2 linked regions of the Anolis sagrei genome follow. The protein of the gene in region 2 interacts with the protein of the main gene of each other region in a pairwise test. Links are inferred from orthologs where the notes say so. Each region holds a gene or a part of one and is shown on either strand. Other genes may lie near its edges.

Region 1 (7,465 bases), about 16 Mb from region 2:
ACATCTGTAGGTTACTCTCTATTTGCCAGTTCTCAGTCAGTCTGGTTGCCACAATCTTGGTTTTCCTGATGTTGAACTGCAGCCCAGCTTTTGCCCTTTCTTCTTCCACCTTGGTGAGAAGGCTCCTCAGCTCCTCCTCACTTTTTGCCATCAAAATGGCATCATCTGCATATCTAAGGGTGTTCATGTTGCATCCAGCTATTTTAACTCCATCCTTGGATTCGTCAAGCCCCACATGTCACTGATAATGAGGGGTAATAATAATAATAATAATAAGAAGAAGAAGTATAATAAGCAAGGATAATCAGGGGTACAAGGACAAGGAGCGTGAGGTCTGCAGAATTGTCTTTGCATTTGTGGATAGAACAGACAGACAGACAGATAGTTGGGTAGGTGTAAATGCCATGCATTTGCATTGATAGTTGTGTGGGTATAAAGGTATAGATGGGAGGCAGATAGATAGGTAGTTCGGTAGGTAGGTAAATAGATAGAAAAGACAAAACAGACAGGAAGAATAGACAGGTAGAATACATAGATGAAATTGATGATGCCAATAGATAGATTTTTTTTCCGTGTCAGGAACGACTTGAGAAACTGCAAGTTGCTTTTGGTGCAATAGAATTGGCCGTCTGCAAGGATGTTGTTCAGGGGACACCCAGATGTTTTATCATCCGTGTAGGAGGCTTCTCTCGTGTCCCCACATGAGAAGCTGGAGATGACAGATGGGAGCTCAGCCCACTCCCTGGATTTGAACCACCACTTTATTTATCGTGTCAGGGGCAACCAGACAATTGTATTACATTTCTAACAGAACAAAACAAACAAACAAACAGACAAACAAACAGACAAAACACAAAGTTTGCAAGCTTGGCAGTTGATTAAATGTCCTTTGAGCAGTCTCTGGCCGCTTGGAGTGCCTCTGGTGTTGCCGCAAGAAGGTCCTCCATGGTGCATGTGGCAGGGCTGAGGGTGCATTGCAGCAGGTGGTCAGTGGTTTGCTCCTCTCCACACTCACATGTCGAGGATTCCACTTTGTAGCCCCATTTCTGAAGGTTGGCTCTGCATCTTGTGGTGCCAGAGCGCAGTCTGTTCAGCGCCTTCCAAGTGGCCCAGTCTTCTTCTGTGTGCCCAGGAGGGGGGGAGTCTCTCATTTGATATCAGCCATGGATTGAGGTTCTGGGTTTGAGCCTGCCACTTTTGGACTCTCGCTTGCTGAGGTGTTCCAGCTAGTGTCTCTGTAGATCTTAGAAAACTGTTTCTTGATTTAAGTCGTTGGCGTGCTGGCTGATACCCAAACATGGGATGAACTGGAGATGTCTCTGCCTTGGTCCTTTCACTCTTGGCTGCTCCTTCCCGGCGGATGTCAGGTGGTGCAATACCGGCTAAGCAGTGTAATTTCTCCAGTGGTGTAGGGCGCAGACACCCCGTGATAATGCGGCATGTCTCATTAAGAGCCACATCCACTGATTTAGCATGGTGAGATGTGTTCCACACTGGGCATGCATACTCAGCAGCAGAGTAGCATAGCGCAAGGGCAGATGTCTTCACTGTGCCTGGTTGTGATCCCCAGGTTGTGCCAGTCAGCTTTTGTATGATATTGTTTCTAGCACCCACTTTTTGCTTGATGTTCAGGCAGTGCTTCTTGTAGGTCAGAGAACGGTCCAGAGTGACTCCCAGGTATTTGGGTGCGCTGCAATGCTCCAGTGGGATTCCTTCCCAGGTAATAATCCTCAGAGCTCGGGATGGTTGTCTGTTCTTGAGATGAAAGGCACATGTCTGTGTTTTAGATGGGTTGGGGATCAGCTGGTTTTCCCTGTAATAGGCAGTAAGGGCACCTAGAGCTTCGGAGAGCTTCTGTTCTACCATCTCAAAGCTCCCTGCTTGAGCAGTAATGGCACGATCATCAGAATAGATGAAATGCTGCAAATGCAACCAGAAGCGACTTGCAGCATTTGAACCACTGACCTTTTGGTACAGCAGTCCTGTATACCAGGGGCTCCTTAGAATAGACAGATAGAATTGATGATGTAGATAAATGGATAGATAGATTGGGTGGGAGAGAGAGAGATAGGACAAACAGACAGAAAGTTGGGTAGGTAGGAAAATAGACAGACAAAATAGACAGAATTGATGATGCAGATAAATAGATATATTATATTAGATGAGATAAGAGGTAAATAGATAGGACAATAGTTGGATAGGTTTACATGCAATGCATTTGCATTGGTAGTCAGGTATAAAAAGTGTATTATTTGTGTTCCTTCACGGTGCTGAGTGTGTCCTCTTTGTTCCCAGATTCAAAAAGAGAGAGAGAGGGTAGGGTCAATGGGGGCACCTTGGCTGACCCTGAAAAGGAAAGGTCAGGGGTGTGGGCTTGCTTGCTGGCTGCCAACGGAGACTGACCTTTGCCGGTGTGCAGGTCCACCTCCACGGTGGGGTTGCCCCGGGAGTCGAGGATCTCCCTGGCGTGGATCTTCTGGATAGACATGGCTGTGGAGAGACAGAGAGAACGAGAGGGTCAAGTGGGGGTCCGAGGAGGAGGTCTCTCCCCCTTTTTTCCCCCCATATAGACTCAAAGAGATCCCCCAAATAGTCCTCCCTGGGCCTGCATTCCCCAGGAGGCAGAAGGGCAGCTGCCAAGGCTAAATATAGACCCCCCCCCTTGCCTCCTGCTCTCTTTCGGTAAAGAGCTGGGAAAGGTCAGCGCTGGAGAAGACTCTTGCAAGCAGAAGATCCCCCCCTCCCCAAAAAAAGCAAGAAGTAGCAAACTTTGGCCCTCCTTCCAGGTGTTTTGGACTCCAACTCCCACCATTCCTCACAGCCTCAGGCCCCTTCCAAAAGGAAAGGGCCTGAGGCTGTGAGGAATGGTGGGAGTTGGAGTCCAAAACACCTGGAAAAAGGGCCCAAGTTGACCCATGCCCCTTCTCAATGGGTCTGGGGTCTCTCCATGCACTCACTCACTTTCTTTCTTCTGCTGCTGTTTCCTGGGGCTCTCTGGGGGGAATTGTGTCTGTCTGCTGGAGCTGCGGACAGTGGCCGGAGAGGCTGGACTCGGCCCTTTATAGCCAGGGTCCACCAGGAGCAGGCACGCCCCCCCTTCTTTGGCCCAGGGGGAGGGAGGGAGGGGGGAGGGCCCGGCAGAGTTTTTGCACGACTTTTTGTCAGGCGTGCTTTAATTTGTTTGAGAAGTCGTGATCCCTGCAGTTGATATTTGAAATGTTCCGAGCTGTTCTAACATCGTCTCCGAGGTTCTTGGTGGGCGGAGAGGTGGCACAGAAATGCCACAGGCAGGCAAAGAAAAAAAAAGACTGCACAGATCTATAGATAGATAGATAGATAGATAGATAGGTAGGTAGGTAGGTAGGTAGGTAGGTAGGTAGATAAAAAGATAGATAGATAGATAGATAGATAGATAGATAGATAGGTAGGTAGGTAGATAAAAAGATAGATAGATAGATAGATAGATAGATAGATAGATAGATAGATAAGATTAGATAATTGGGAACTAGATACACAAGATAAATAGATAGATAAATAGGTGGGAAAGATTAAATGAGAGGTAAATAGATAAGTTAACTGTACTATCAATCGATATATAGGATAGGATAGGAAGATGATAGATTATATGGGAGGTAGATAGATAGATAATTGTTAACTGTACTATTGATCAATAGATAGATAGGATAGGATAAGTAGATGATAGATTATATGGGAGGTAGATAAATAGATAGATAGATAGATAGATAGATAGATAGATAGATAGGATAGGTAGATAGCTAAGGTAGGTAGTAGATAGATTAGATAATTGGGAGGTAGATACGCAAGATAGATAGATGGATAGATAGATGGATGGATAGATGATAGATAGATAGATAGATAGATAGATAGATAGATTAACTGTAAGATATGTAGGTAGGTAGGTAGGTAGGTAGGTAGGTAGGATAGGTAGGCAGATGATAGATTAGATGGGCGGTAGATAGATAATTGTGTCATAATTAGATAGATAGATAGATAGATAGATAGATAGATAGTTGATTATCGAGGTAGATAGATAGGTAAGATAACTGTGCAGTAGACGGAAGGATGGATGGGTAGGTAGGTAGATAGGATAGATAGTAGATAGATTAGATGGGAGGCAGATAGATAACTGTGTGATAGATTAGATTAGATAGATAGGGTAGGTAGTAGATAGATTAGATAATTGGGAGGTAGATACGCAAGATGGATGGATAGATGGATGAATGGATGGATAGAATAACTGTAAGATATGTAGGTAGATAGGATAAGATAGGTAGGCAGATGATAGATTGATGGGAGGTAGATAGATAATTGTGTCATAGATTAGATAGATAGATAGATAGATAGATAGATAGGGTAGGTAGTAGATAGATTAGATAATTGGGAGGCAGATATGCAAGATAGATAGATAGATAGATAGATAGATAGATAGATAGATAGATAGAATAACTGTAAGATATGTAGGTAGGTAGGATAGGGTAGGTAGGTAGGATAGGTAGGCAGATGATAGATTAGACAGGAGAGAGAGAGAGAGAGAGATAGCCAGACAGATTAATAGAATAGAAGGTTCACTCTTTATAGTGACCACTGCCTTGTGAGTTTGCTTTGAGTGGGACTTTTCCCAGAGTTGCCAATGGCAGAGGGAGGATCTGAACCTGGGGCTCAGCCAATGCACTGTGACTCTCTGAAGCCTGGCCTGGTCAAGGCATTGAAGTGCTGGCTTTTCACCTGCACTGGGCTGACATGTAGAGAAGGGGGATGGGGGGAGATGTGGCTTTGGTGGACATGCAATGTATGGCCCTAAAAGAGAGCAAACCTGCAAGGCATGCGGGATGCAGACAGGCTCTCCTTGCTTGCCATTTGGATGTTTGCATGGCAACCAAATGGGATATTATTATTATTATTATTATTATTATTGTCTATATGTCACCTCGAGCTGCAGGGAGAGAAAGGTAATACATTTATTATCATCATCATCATCATCATCATTATTACTGTCTATATGTCACCTCAAGCTGCAGGGAGAGGCAGGTAATACATTATTATTATTATTATTATTATTATTATTATTGTTATTATTATTGTCTATCTGTCACCTCGAGTTGCAGGGAGAGGCAGGTAATACATTATTATTATTATTATTATTATTATTATTATTATTATTAGTGTCTTATCTCTTATTTTAAGATGTTGCATCCTGCTTCGAGCCGCAGGGAGAGGTGGGTCATACATTATTATTATTATTATTATTATTATTATTATTATTATTTAGGTTTATTAAAGATTATTATTATTATTAAGGTGGGTCAAACATTATTATTATTATTATAGGTTATTATTTAGGGTTATTATAGATGATGATGATGATGATTATTATTATTATTGGTTGTTGTTGTTATTGTTATTATTATTATTATTATTGGGAGAATGGCTTTGGATCCTTTGTTGGGAGAAAAGTGGGACATCCATATTTATTTGAATGTAACGCTCACCTTTTTTTGGCTGAATTACCTCACCAAAATTAGGGTGTGCCTTATATGATTCACATCATACGGTAATCTTGGTGGCGAGGCACCAGCATTCGTTGGCAAAGAAGGCTCAAGACCTTGTCCAACACCCCCCCCCCCCCCCCACACACACACACACACCAGGACTCCACCGCATTGAACCAAGGCAATTCAAGTGCATTCCTTCTGCAGCATAGTTTTCCTTTCCTTTGCTGGAAACTTTGGTGCCCTGACCTTTTTGTTATTATTAAGCAAGCAGCCATTGCAAGGCACATATTTTTGGGCCCAGTGACAAGGAGTGCGCTTTTTGCACACATTCAGCAGCCAATACTTTCCTTGTTTTAAGGGTTTTGAAAATGGAGGTGCGCATGAGATTCAGTGGCGCATGAGTCAGGTCAATACAGGCACATTGCAGGGATGCTTCTCTTTCTTTCTTTCCTTGGGAGCGCACCCTCCTTAGAAAGCGGTCCGCCCTGCCTTGGGTCCATTCCGTTGCCTATAATTGCCTTCTAAAAATGGGACATGCGACGGCCGCCTCCATCCGTGCACCTGCGCATCCTCTCTCCATCTGGCTGCATGGATGGCAGGACGCCACGGCCGTCTTCCTGGGCGCCCCTCCTGATCCAACGTCCTCCTCTCCTCCGCGTTTACTCCAGGCAAAGGGCCCACACGCCCGGGGGCCCCTTCTCCTCCGTGGATCCCGTGAATCATGCTTCATTGCAGGGCTTTCTCTTGAATAGCAGGGCATGGCCCGGGATGCCAGCCAAACCCACCCACCCACGGGGCTGGCTGGCAAGGAGGAACGAGAGCGGCTGGTGGCCAAGCCGGGATGAGTCACGCACGGGGCAGAGCGTTTTCCCCCAAACGTTTGCATTCAAGGCAGGATCCCTTCCTTTCCTTCCTTCGTGTCCTTGCTTTGGCTCTTTTGCATTTGGTGCCAGGCCCTTCCGCCAAAGCCTTGCCCTAAATTTAGACCCTTCTAAAGGTCGGGGGACCATTCGAGGTCCCAGGCTTAAAGGACGAGGAGGTAACCCTAGATAGCTCCTCCTGCTCACCTTTCACAGCCTTGGGATGCATTTACGGGAAGGCAGAAGGAAGACCCTCGAGCCTCACCCTCCCTCCGGTGCAGAGTTGGAAGTCCAAAACACCTGGAGGGAAGGCTGAAGTTGGCCCAGGCCTGCCCCATAGGATGGGACCCCTTTGCCCCCTTCTCCAAGATCATAGCCAAGGGTTGGTGATGTTTATTCATTCAGTCGCTTCATGACTTCATGGACCAGCCCAGGCCAGAGCTCCATGTCGGCCGTGGCCGCCCACAGGATCTCCTTCAAGGCCAAACGAGTCCCTTCAAGAATTGCCCTTGGTCGGCCCCTCTTCCTTTTTCCTTCCATTTTCCCAAGCATCATTCTCTTCTCCAAGGTCTCATATCTTCCCATGATGAGGCCAAAGAACTTCATCTTTGCCTCTGATATCCTCCTCTCCAGTGAACACCCGGTATTTATTTCCTGAAGTATGGACTGGTTGGATCTTCTCACGGTCCAAGGCACTCTTAGAACTTTCCACCAGCACCACAGTTCAAAAGCCTCTCTCTTCCTTCGCTCAGCCTTCACTATGATCCAGCTCGCACATCCGCCGGGAAGTAGCAGCCAATAGTGAAAGGACCAAGGCAGAGACATCTCCAATCCATCCCTTGTTTGGGTATCAGCCAGCACATCAACGACTTAAATCAAGAAATAGTTTTCTAAGATCTACAGAGACACTCGCTGGAACACCTCAGCAAGCGAGAGTCCAAAAGTGGCAGGCCCAAACCCAGCACCTCAATCCATGGGTGATACCAGATGAGAGACTCCCTCCTGGGCACACAGAGGATTGGGCGACGTGGAAGGCGCTGAACAGACTGCGCTCTGGCCCCACGAGATGCAGAGCCAACCTTAGAAAATGGG
Region 2 (7,147 bases):
CACCCACATCAATGGCAGAGGTTAGGAGGCTGGTTGGAAACTAGGCAAGTGAGGTATCTGTGTAATGTCCAGGGTGGGAGAAAGAACTCTTGTCTGTTTGAGGCAAGTGTGGATGCTGTAATTGGCCACATTGATTAGCATTGAATGGCCTTGCAGCTTTAAAGCCTGGCTGCTTCCTGCCTGGAGGCATCCTTCAAGAACTCTTGGTAAGCTTATTATATAGGGATGTCTACTGCTGCTTAGCCTTTTTTTGTCCTCTTTTTATCTCTTTCCATGTGTTTTCCTGCATAAGATCATTTTTATTTTTAAATAAAATAATTCCCTGCATCTGTAACTCAAATAGAAAATCTACGGTATTGGTTGCTTCCTGCTGGAGGGAATCCTTTGTTGGGAGGTGTTAGCTGGCTCTGATTGTTTTCTGTCTGGACTTCCCCTGTTTTTTTTTTTTTTTAGTGGTGTGCTTTATTTTGAGTGTTGCTATAGGATTGTTTTATATCTCTTAAAGTATAGCAAGTGCAATATATAAAAGTGGCTTGAGGGTTGGATTAGGACTTTGGAGACCAGGGTTCGAATCCCCTGCTCAGCCATGAAAACCTAGAGGGTGAACTAGGGCAAGTCACACTCTCTCAGCCTCAAAGAACAGCCTTCTCCACAAATCCTGCCAAGAAAGCCCCATGATAGGGTTGCCGTAAGCCAGAAAGGGCTTGAAAAGTAAACAACAATAAATCAGAAAGTGTTAAGGGGAAAACCTGGGCAGAAGAATGCCGCTCTAGATGCATTGATGTGAATAAAACCCTGAACAAATAGTAACTGTGCAAGACTTTTGCAAGTCATTGCAGCAAAGGAGGAAACGCCGGTGTGAGATAATAGTGTTGGGAGGGGAAACTGTGAGTCAACAGCCGCTATGGACTTAAATGGAGGAAGAAGCAAATACCGTAGACTCAGTGAGGAGGGTTGGTTCAGACTTACCAAGCAAAGAGCAACAGACTAATAAAAGTGAAGGAATGTGTAAGGACAAATGGGAAGTGCCCATCCACTAATATTTAAAGCCCTGCAAGGGTATTGATTTAATGCTGGTTCGTAAGCCAGATTTAAAATGAAAGGGAGGAACTTGACTATCCATTTAAAGAAGTGCTAAATGAGCCAGCGTGGCATTTGAGCTTTGGACTAGGACTTTTGCGACCAGGGTTCAAATATGCATTCAGCTATGGAATTATTATTATTATTATTATTATTATTATTATTATTATGTTTACTTACACCACTTTTTCTGTCCACAAAGGAGACTCAAAGCAGCTTATATTAAAATGGGTTAAACCCATGTGCCGGCTGGACTGTTGACCTAAAAGCATTGGAAACCTATGGCTGAGTCACACTCTCTCAGCTTCAGAGGAACACCATAGCAAACCCTTCTGAACAAACCTTGTCAGGATAAGGGATGCTTCTACACTCTAGAATGAACGCAGTTTGGTGCCAACTTAACTGCTATGGATTTTTTATCGTGTCAGAAGCAACTTGAGAACATACTGCAAGTCGCTTCTGGTGTGAGAGAATTGGCCATCTACAGAGATGTTGCCCAGGGGATGTGTTACCATCCTTCTTTCATGTCCTCGCAAGCTAGAGCTGACAGATGGGATCTCACCCTGTCTCGCGGATTTGAACAGGCAACCTTCAGGTCAGCAGTTCAGCCGGCACATGGGTTTAACCCATTGCGCCACTGCAGCTTTACTCCTATGGATCAATGCTATAGAATAATTGGAATTGTAGATTGGTAAGGAGCTAGCAGCATTAGGTAGAGAAGACCTTGTAAAACTACAGCTTCCATTATTACATAGTATTGAGCAATAGTAGTTAAAGTGGCATCAAAGTGCATTACTTTTACAGCATAGATATACTATAGGACTCTGCAGTCCAGAGTTTGAATCCTCACTCAGCCATGGAAACCTACCGAGTGTGTCACACTCTCTCAGCCTCAGAGGGAGGCCATGGCAAACCCCTTAGAATAATAGAATCCTAAAGTTGGAAAAGACCTCATGGGCCATCCAGTCCAACCCCCTGCCAAGCAGGAAAACCACATCCAAAGCACCCCCGACAGATGGCCATCCAGCCTCTGTTTACAAGCCTCCAAAGGCGCTTCTACCACACTCCAGGGCAGAGAAAGAAAACCCTGTGATAGGACAGGACTACCTCAATCAAAAATGAATTGGAAGCACCATAAGGTAAAGGTAAAGATTTTTTCCTGACATTAAGACCAGTCGTGTTCAACTCTGGGGGTTGGTGCTCATCTCCATTTCTAAGCCAAAGAGCCAGCGTTGTCCATAGACACTTCCAAGGTCATGTGGTTGGCATGACTGCATGGAGCGCTGTTACCTTCCCTCCGCAGCGGTACCTATTTATCTACTCACATTTGCATGTTTTCAAACTGCTAGGTTGGCAGAAGCTGGGGCTAACAGTGGGAGCTCACCCCCTCCCCAGATTCGAACCTGTGACCATTAGGTAAGCAAGTTCAGCAGCTCAGCGGTTTAACCCACTGCGCCATTGGGGGCTCCCTGTTATAGGATAGGACTACCTTAAAAATGAATTGGAGACACAATACAACTCAACAGTACGATCTAAGTCTTCAAGGAGACAAAATGTAAACCTATATTTTAAATATATATATATATATGTAAACACTTTCATTTAGGAAAGCAGACCTTTCTGAAATATACGAGTATATACGAGTGGGTATAACCACCCAACCAGAGCTGAGAATGATGGATATTTTGCAGGTCCCATAATCCCCAACCCTCCTTAGCATTTGTTAGTTGTAGTCCCCAAAGTTTCCTTTCCCCAGTTCTGATCTGCCTTGGAGGGCCTTGTGCCAATGCTTGCTATCCCCAAAGCAAGCCTTACTCCTTCCCTGGTCAAAAAAGACCCCTCATCCCGCACCCCAAACGTACCGGTGGGCACGAGAGGGGCTCTGGCAGGACACGGCGGCGTCTCCGGAGGGTGCTGGGTGACTGGCAGGGGCAAAGCCAGCGCTGGGGCTATAAGAAGGGGGCTCCGAGGGGTGGGAAGGGCCAGGCTAACCTTCTCTTCGACCCCTGGCCTTTCGCAGGGCAGGCTAAAAATAGGGGCCCGGGTCCTCGGAATGTGAAAGACGAGGCCCCTGACATTCCCAAAGAGCAAAGGGACAGCGGGCCAGTCACGGGGAAAGAGGATGGGAGAGTGGAGGGAGGGTCATGGCTCCTTCCCTTCCAAAGTCTGGCCTCCACCTAGAAAAACAACGCTCCCCTGATTGAAAGGTTGCACCAGACCCTGTGCAAATGGCACCAATGCTTTGGAGTCACCCTTTTGGCCCCAATGCTCATGTGTTCCATGCTTCCTTCCCTTCCTTGCAGTCCCAGGTCAGAAGGGTCATGGGACTCAATGCCCATGTGGTTCATGTTTCCTTCCACCCACCATCTTGCCCACTTTGTGCCCCTAAGCTGCTTTCTTCCTCTACTAAAAACTCAAGCTTGCAATGTAAGGCTTCCATTTCAGCTCCATTGTATGTCCACTTGTCCCTCAGCGCCACCTGCTGCCCCTGGGTGGAACTGCAAGACAACTGAGGTTCTATCTATCTGCCCATTCTGGATTGGGAAAGGCTCAGCAATAATAAGACAAGGGTTGAATGAAAAGTAATGCCTCCACCTTCATTACGTGGGTTTGGATGGGAATATTTTAATAAATCAAACGCAGAAATACTTCTTAGAATGTGCTCTTCAACTATCATTGGTTTTTAAATGCTGCATGTTACTGTTTATTGTTTTTTGTTTATGTGAGTTAGACCACACCTGGAATATTGTGTCCAATTCTGGGCACCACAATTCAAGAGAGATATTGACAAGCTGGAATGTGTCCAGAGGAGGGCGGCTAAAATGATCAAGGGTCTGGAGAACAAGCCCTATGAGGAGCGGCTTAAGGAGCTGGGCATGTTTAGCCTGAAGAAGAGAAGGTTGAGAGGAGATATGATAGCCATGTATAAGTATGTGAGAGGAAGCCACAGGGAGGAGGGAGCAAGCTTGTTTTCTGCTTCTTTGGAGACTAGGACGCAGAACAATGGCTTCAAACTACAAGAGAGGAGATTCCATCTGAACATGAGGAAAAACTTCCTGACTGTGAGAGCCGCTCAGCAGTGGAACTCTCTGCCCCGGAGTGTGGTGGAGGCTCCTTCTTTGGAAGCTTTTAAACAGAGGCTGGATGGCCATCTGTCAGGGGTGATTTGAATGCAATATTCCTGCTTCTTGGCAGTGGGTTGGACTGGACGGCCCATGAGGTCTCTTCCAACTCTTTGATTCTATGATTCAATGATTAATTGTATTGTATTGATTGTTTTTCTTATTGCTCTTGTTATTGATGTATTGTGGGCTTGGCCTCATGTAAGCTGCACCGAGTCCCTTGGGGAGATGGTATAAATAAATAAAGTATAATAATAATAATAATAATAATTATTATTATTATTATTATTACCACTATTCTCTTTTCTACATAATCACCAGACAATTGGATACATTTCTGCCAACGATGAACAAGTTTTCTGAAGCCGTCACGGAAGAAGTCGACACTCTTTTTCCGCAACTAGCATCTCACAGTTCTCTCAATGTCTTCATCAGAAGCATAATTATGTCCCCGCAGATCTTCTTTCATTATCAGGAACAGATTGAAGTCAGACGGTGCTAAATCTGGACTGTATGGAGGATGCCGTACGGTGGTGAGGTCCAGTATCTGAAGTTTTGCTGTGTACCCATCATGCACAGATCTTCCGTTAGCCAAGCAAAGCAATAATGTGACCCATATGTTCTTGTGAAATGCTAATTATGCTTGAAATTTCTCTCTGAGTGATACGACGATCATCCTGAATCAATCTGTCAACCTTTTGTTTGTGAAACTCAGTGGTTGCTGTCACAGGACGTCCAACTCTTTGTTTGTCACGAAAGTCAGATGTTCCCACCTCAACATCTTTAAACTTACTCACCCAACGACGCATAGTATTCACATCAACACAATAACCATAAGCAGCTTGCATTCTCTGATGAATCTCCTTTGGAGTGACACCTTCTGCTGTCAAGAATTCAATGACTGCACATTGCTTAAGTTGTATTGACCGACCGTCTGCGCAGGGTTCCATACTTTGCACTTTAACAACACAACTGTTCAATGCTAAGGCTTCCCGCCAAAATGGAACTGTAGAGGAGAGTCTACTGAACAAGCCAGTACCTGCTGCATACCAGTACTGCCATCTGTTGAGTTACGAAGGTGGAGGCATTACTTTTCATTCAACCTTCATACATCTACACTGTAGAATGAATGCAACTTGATAATCAATGCAGCTTGACATTGAGCCATGACAAGAATTAAACTGTCATGGTTCATTACTATGAGATCCTGGTATTGTACTTTAATGAGGCCCCAGCACTATTGAGCAGAGAAGGCTCAATAGTACTACAGTCTAGCTCAGGCATGCCCAAACTTGGGCACTCCCGGTGTTTTGGACTTCAACTCCCATAATTCCTAAAAGCCTCAGGCCCCTTCCTTTTCCCCTCAGCTGCTTAAGCCGCTTATTATTATTATTATTATTATTATTATTATTATTATTATTATTATTATTATTATTACTATCCTGCCACTTTAAAATGCATAAAAATGATATACCCTTATCTAAAATGGTAAGGAGGCCCCTTACCATTTTAGGTTCAGTGGGCTAAACCGCTGAGCTGCTGAAGTTGCTGACCGAAAGGTCAGCAGTTTGAATCTGGGAAGCAGGGTGAGCTCCCGCTGTTATGCCCAGCATCTGCCAACCTATTAGCTCAAAAACATGCAAATGTGAGTAAATCAATAGGTACCACTTTGGCGGGAAGGTAACGGCTCTCCATGCAGTCATGCTAGCCACATGACTTTGGAGGTGTCTACAGACAACGCTGGCTCTTTGGCTTAGAAATGGAGATGAGCACCAACCCCCAGAGTTGGACAGGACTAGACCTAATGTCAAAAGGAAACCTTTATCCTTACCATAAAATGGTTCAGATATATGGTGTTTCCCCTATTTATTATTTTATATGTTGTTGTTATAGTCGGCCCTCCATATTCATGTATTCTGCACCCAGGATTCAATTGTCCACAAAGAATGCTTTTAAAAAGAAATCCAAAAAGCAACCCTTGATCATGCCATTTCATATAAGGGACACCATTTTACTACAGCATTGTATACAATGGGATTTGAGGATCAAAAGATGCTAGTATCCACAGGAGGTCCTGGAACCAAAGCCCAAGCAATACATATCTCAGGAAATGACTGCAACAAAAGCAATTGTGTTTTCCAGTAGATATGTCATCACTCTTAAGATGGACTGATACACATCCTTTGGGAGGTAGAAGATGTTCTCCTTTTACATGAAATATGTAGTGCCTCGAGCACAAAACAAGTGTGGACCTGAACAAGAGACTTCCTTGTAACAGATGGATAGGAGAAACAACTGCAAAATCTAGGCAACTGCAACCAAATCATGTGTAATGGGCATGTTTAACCAAAAGAACTGGGAATGATTAGCTTTTAGATGCCTTCAAATATCTGAAGGTCTGTCATGTAGATGACCTAGACATGTTCTTTGTTGTTCCAACAGACTGTGCTGGAATTTATAGGTGGAATTTATTTTCTAAAGGTTTTTGTCACTGCCATCAAGTCGACTTGGACTTGCAGCAACCCTATAAATGAGAGAAAGGTAGATTTGGGTCGAAAATTGGGAGAATCTTCCCAATTGTGAGCTTTGGGAAGTAGGTTCGCTGTCTTTCAAATGGCTAATGGAATGCCATCGCAGCATCCTCATATATTAAGCAGGAAATTAGAATTAAATGACCGACAGGCTCTCTTCCAAGTCTTAAATTTATGTGATCGTTCTCTGCTTAGACAGAAGACATATTTTTCTGTTCAGACATCTAGACGCAAGACACAGAGGGTTTTTGAATGAATAAACAAATATGGTTACCTGGATAATGATAACCTAGGGCCCTTCCAGACAGTCCCTATATCCCAGGATCTGATCCCAGGTTTTCTGTTTATCCCAGATTATTATCTGGCAGTGTGGACTCATATAATCCAGTTCAAAGCTGAAAACCGGGGATGAGA

Evidence for each region.
Region 1: the proteins of ALDOA (region 2) and ENO3 interact in a two-hybrid assay, tested with the Homo sapiens proteins (2 studies listed by BioGRID and IntAct, with this or other methods). The link is inferred for Anolis sagrei from reciprocal best matches to the Homo sapiens genes ALDOA and ENO3.

What each region holds. Positions count from the first base shown.
Region 1 is NC_090026.1:1,351,068-1,358,532, reverse strand, and holds the start of ENO3 (beta-enolase), read right to left. Parts: upstream 3,071-7,465; 5' UTR 2,962-3,070; exon of another isoform or gene 2,958-2,961; intron 2,491-2,957; 5' UTR 2,489-2,490; coding exon 2,404-2,488; intron 1-2,403. UniProt on the Homo sapiens protein: Glycolytic enzyme that catalyzes the conversion of 2-phosphoglycerate to phosphoenolpyruvate. Appears to have a function in striated muscle development and regeneration.
Region 2 is NC_090026.1:17,439,441-17,446,587, reverse strand, and holds the start of ALDOA (fructose-bisphosphate aldolase A), read right to left. Parts: upstream 3,050-7,147; 5' UTR 2,943-3,049; intron 1-2,942. UniProt on the Homo sapiens protein: Catalyzes the reversible conversion of beta-D-fructose 1,6-bisphosphate (FBP) into two triose phosphate and plays a key role in glycolysis and gluconeogenesis. In addition, may also function as scaffolding protein.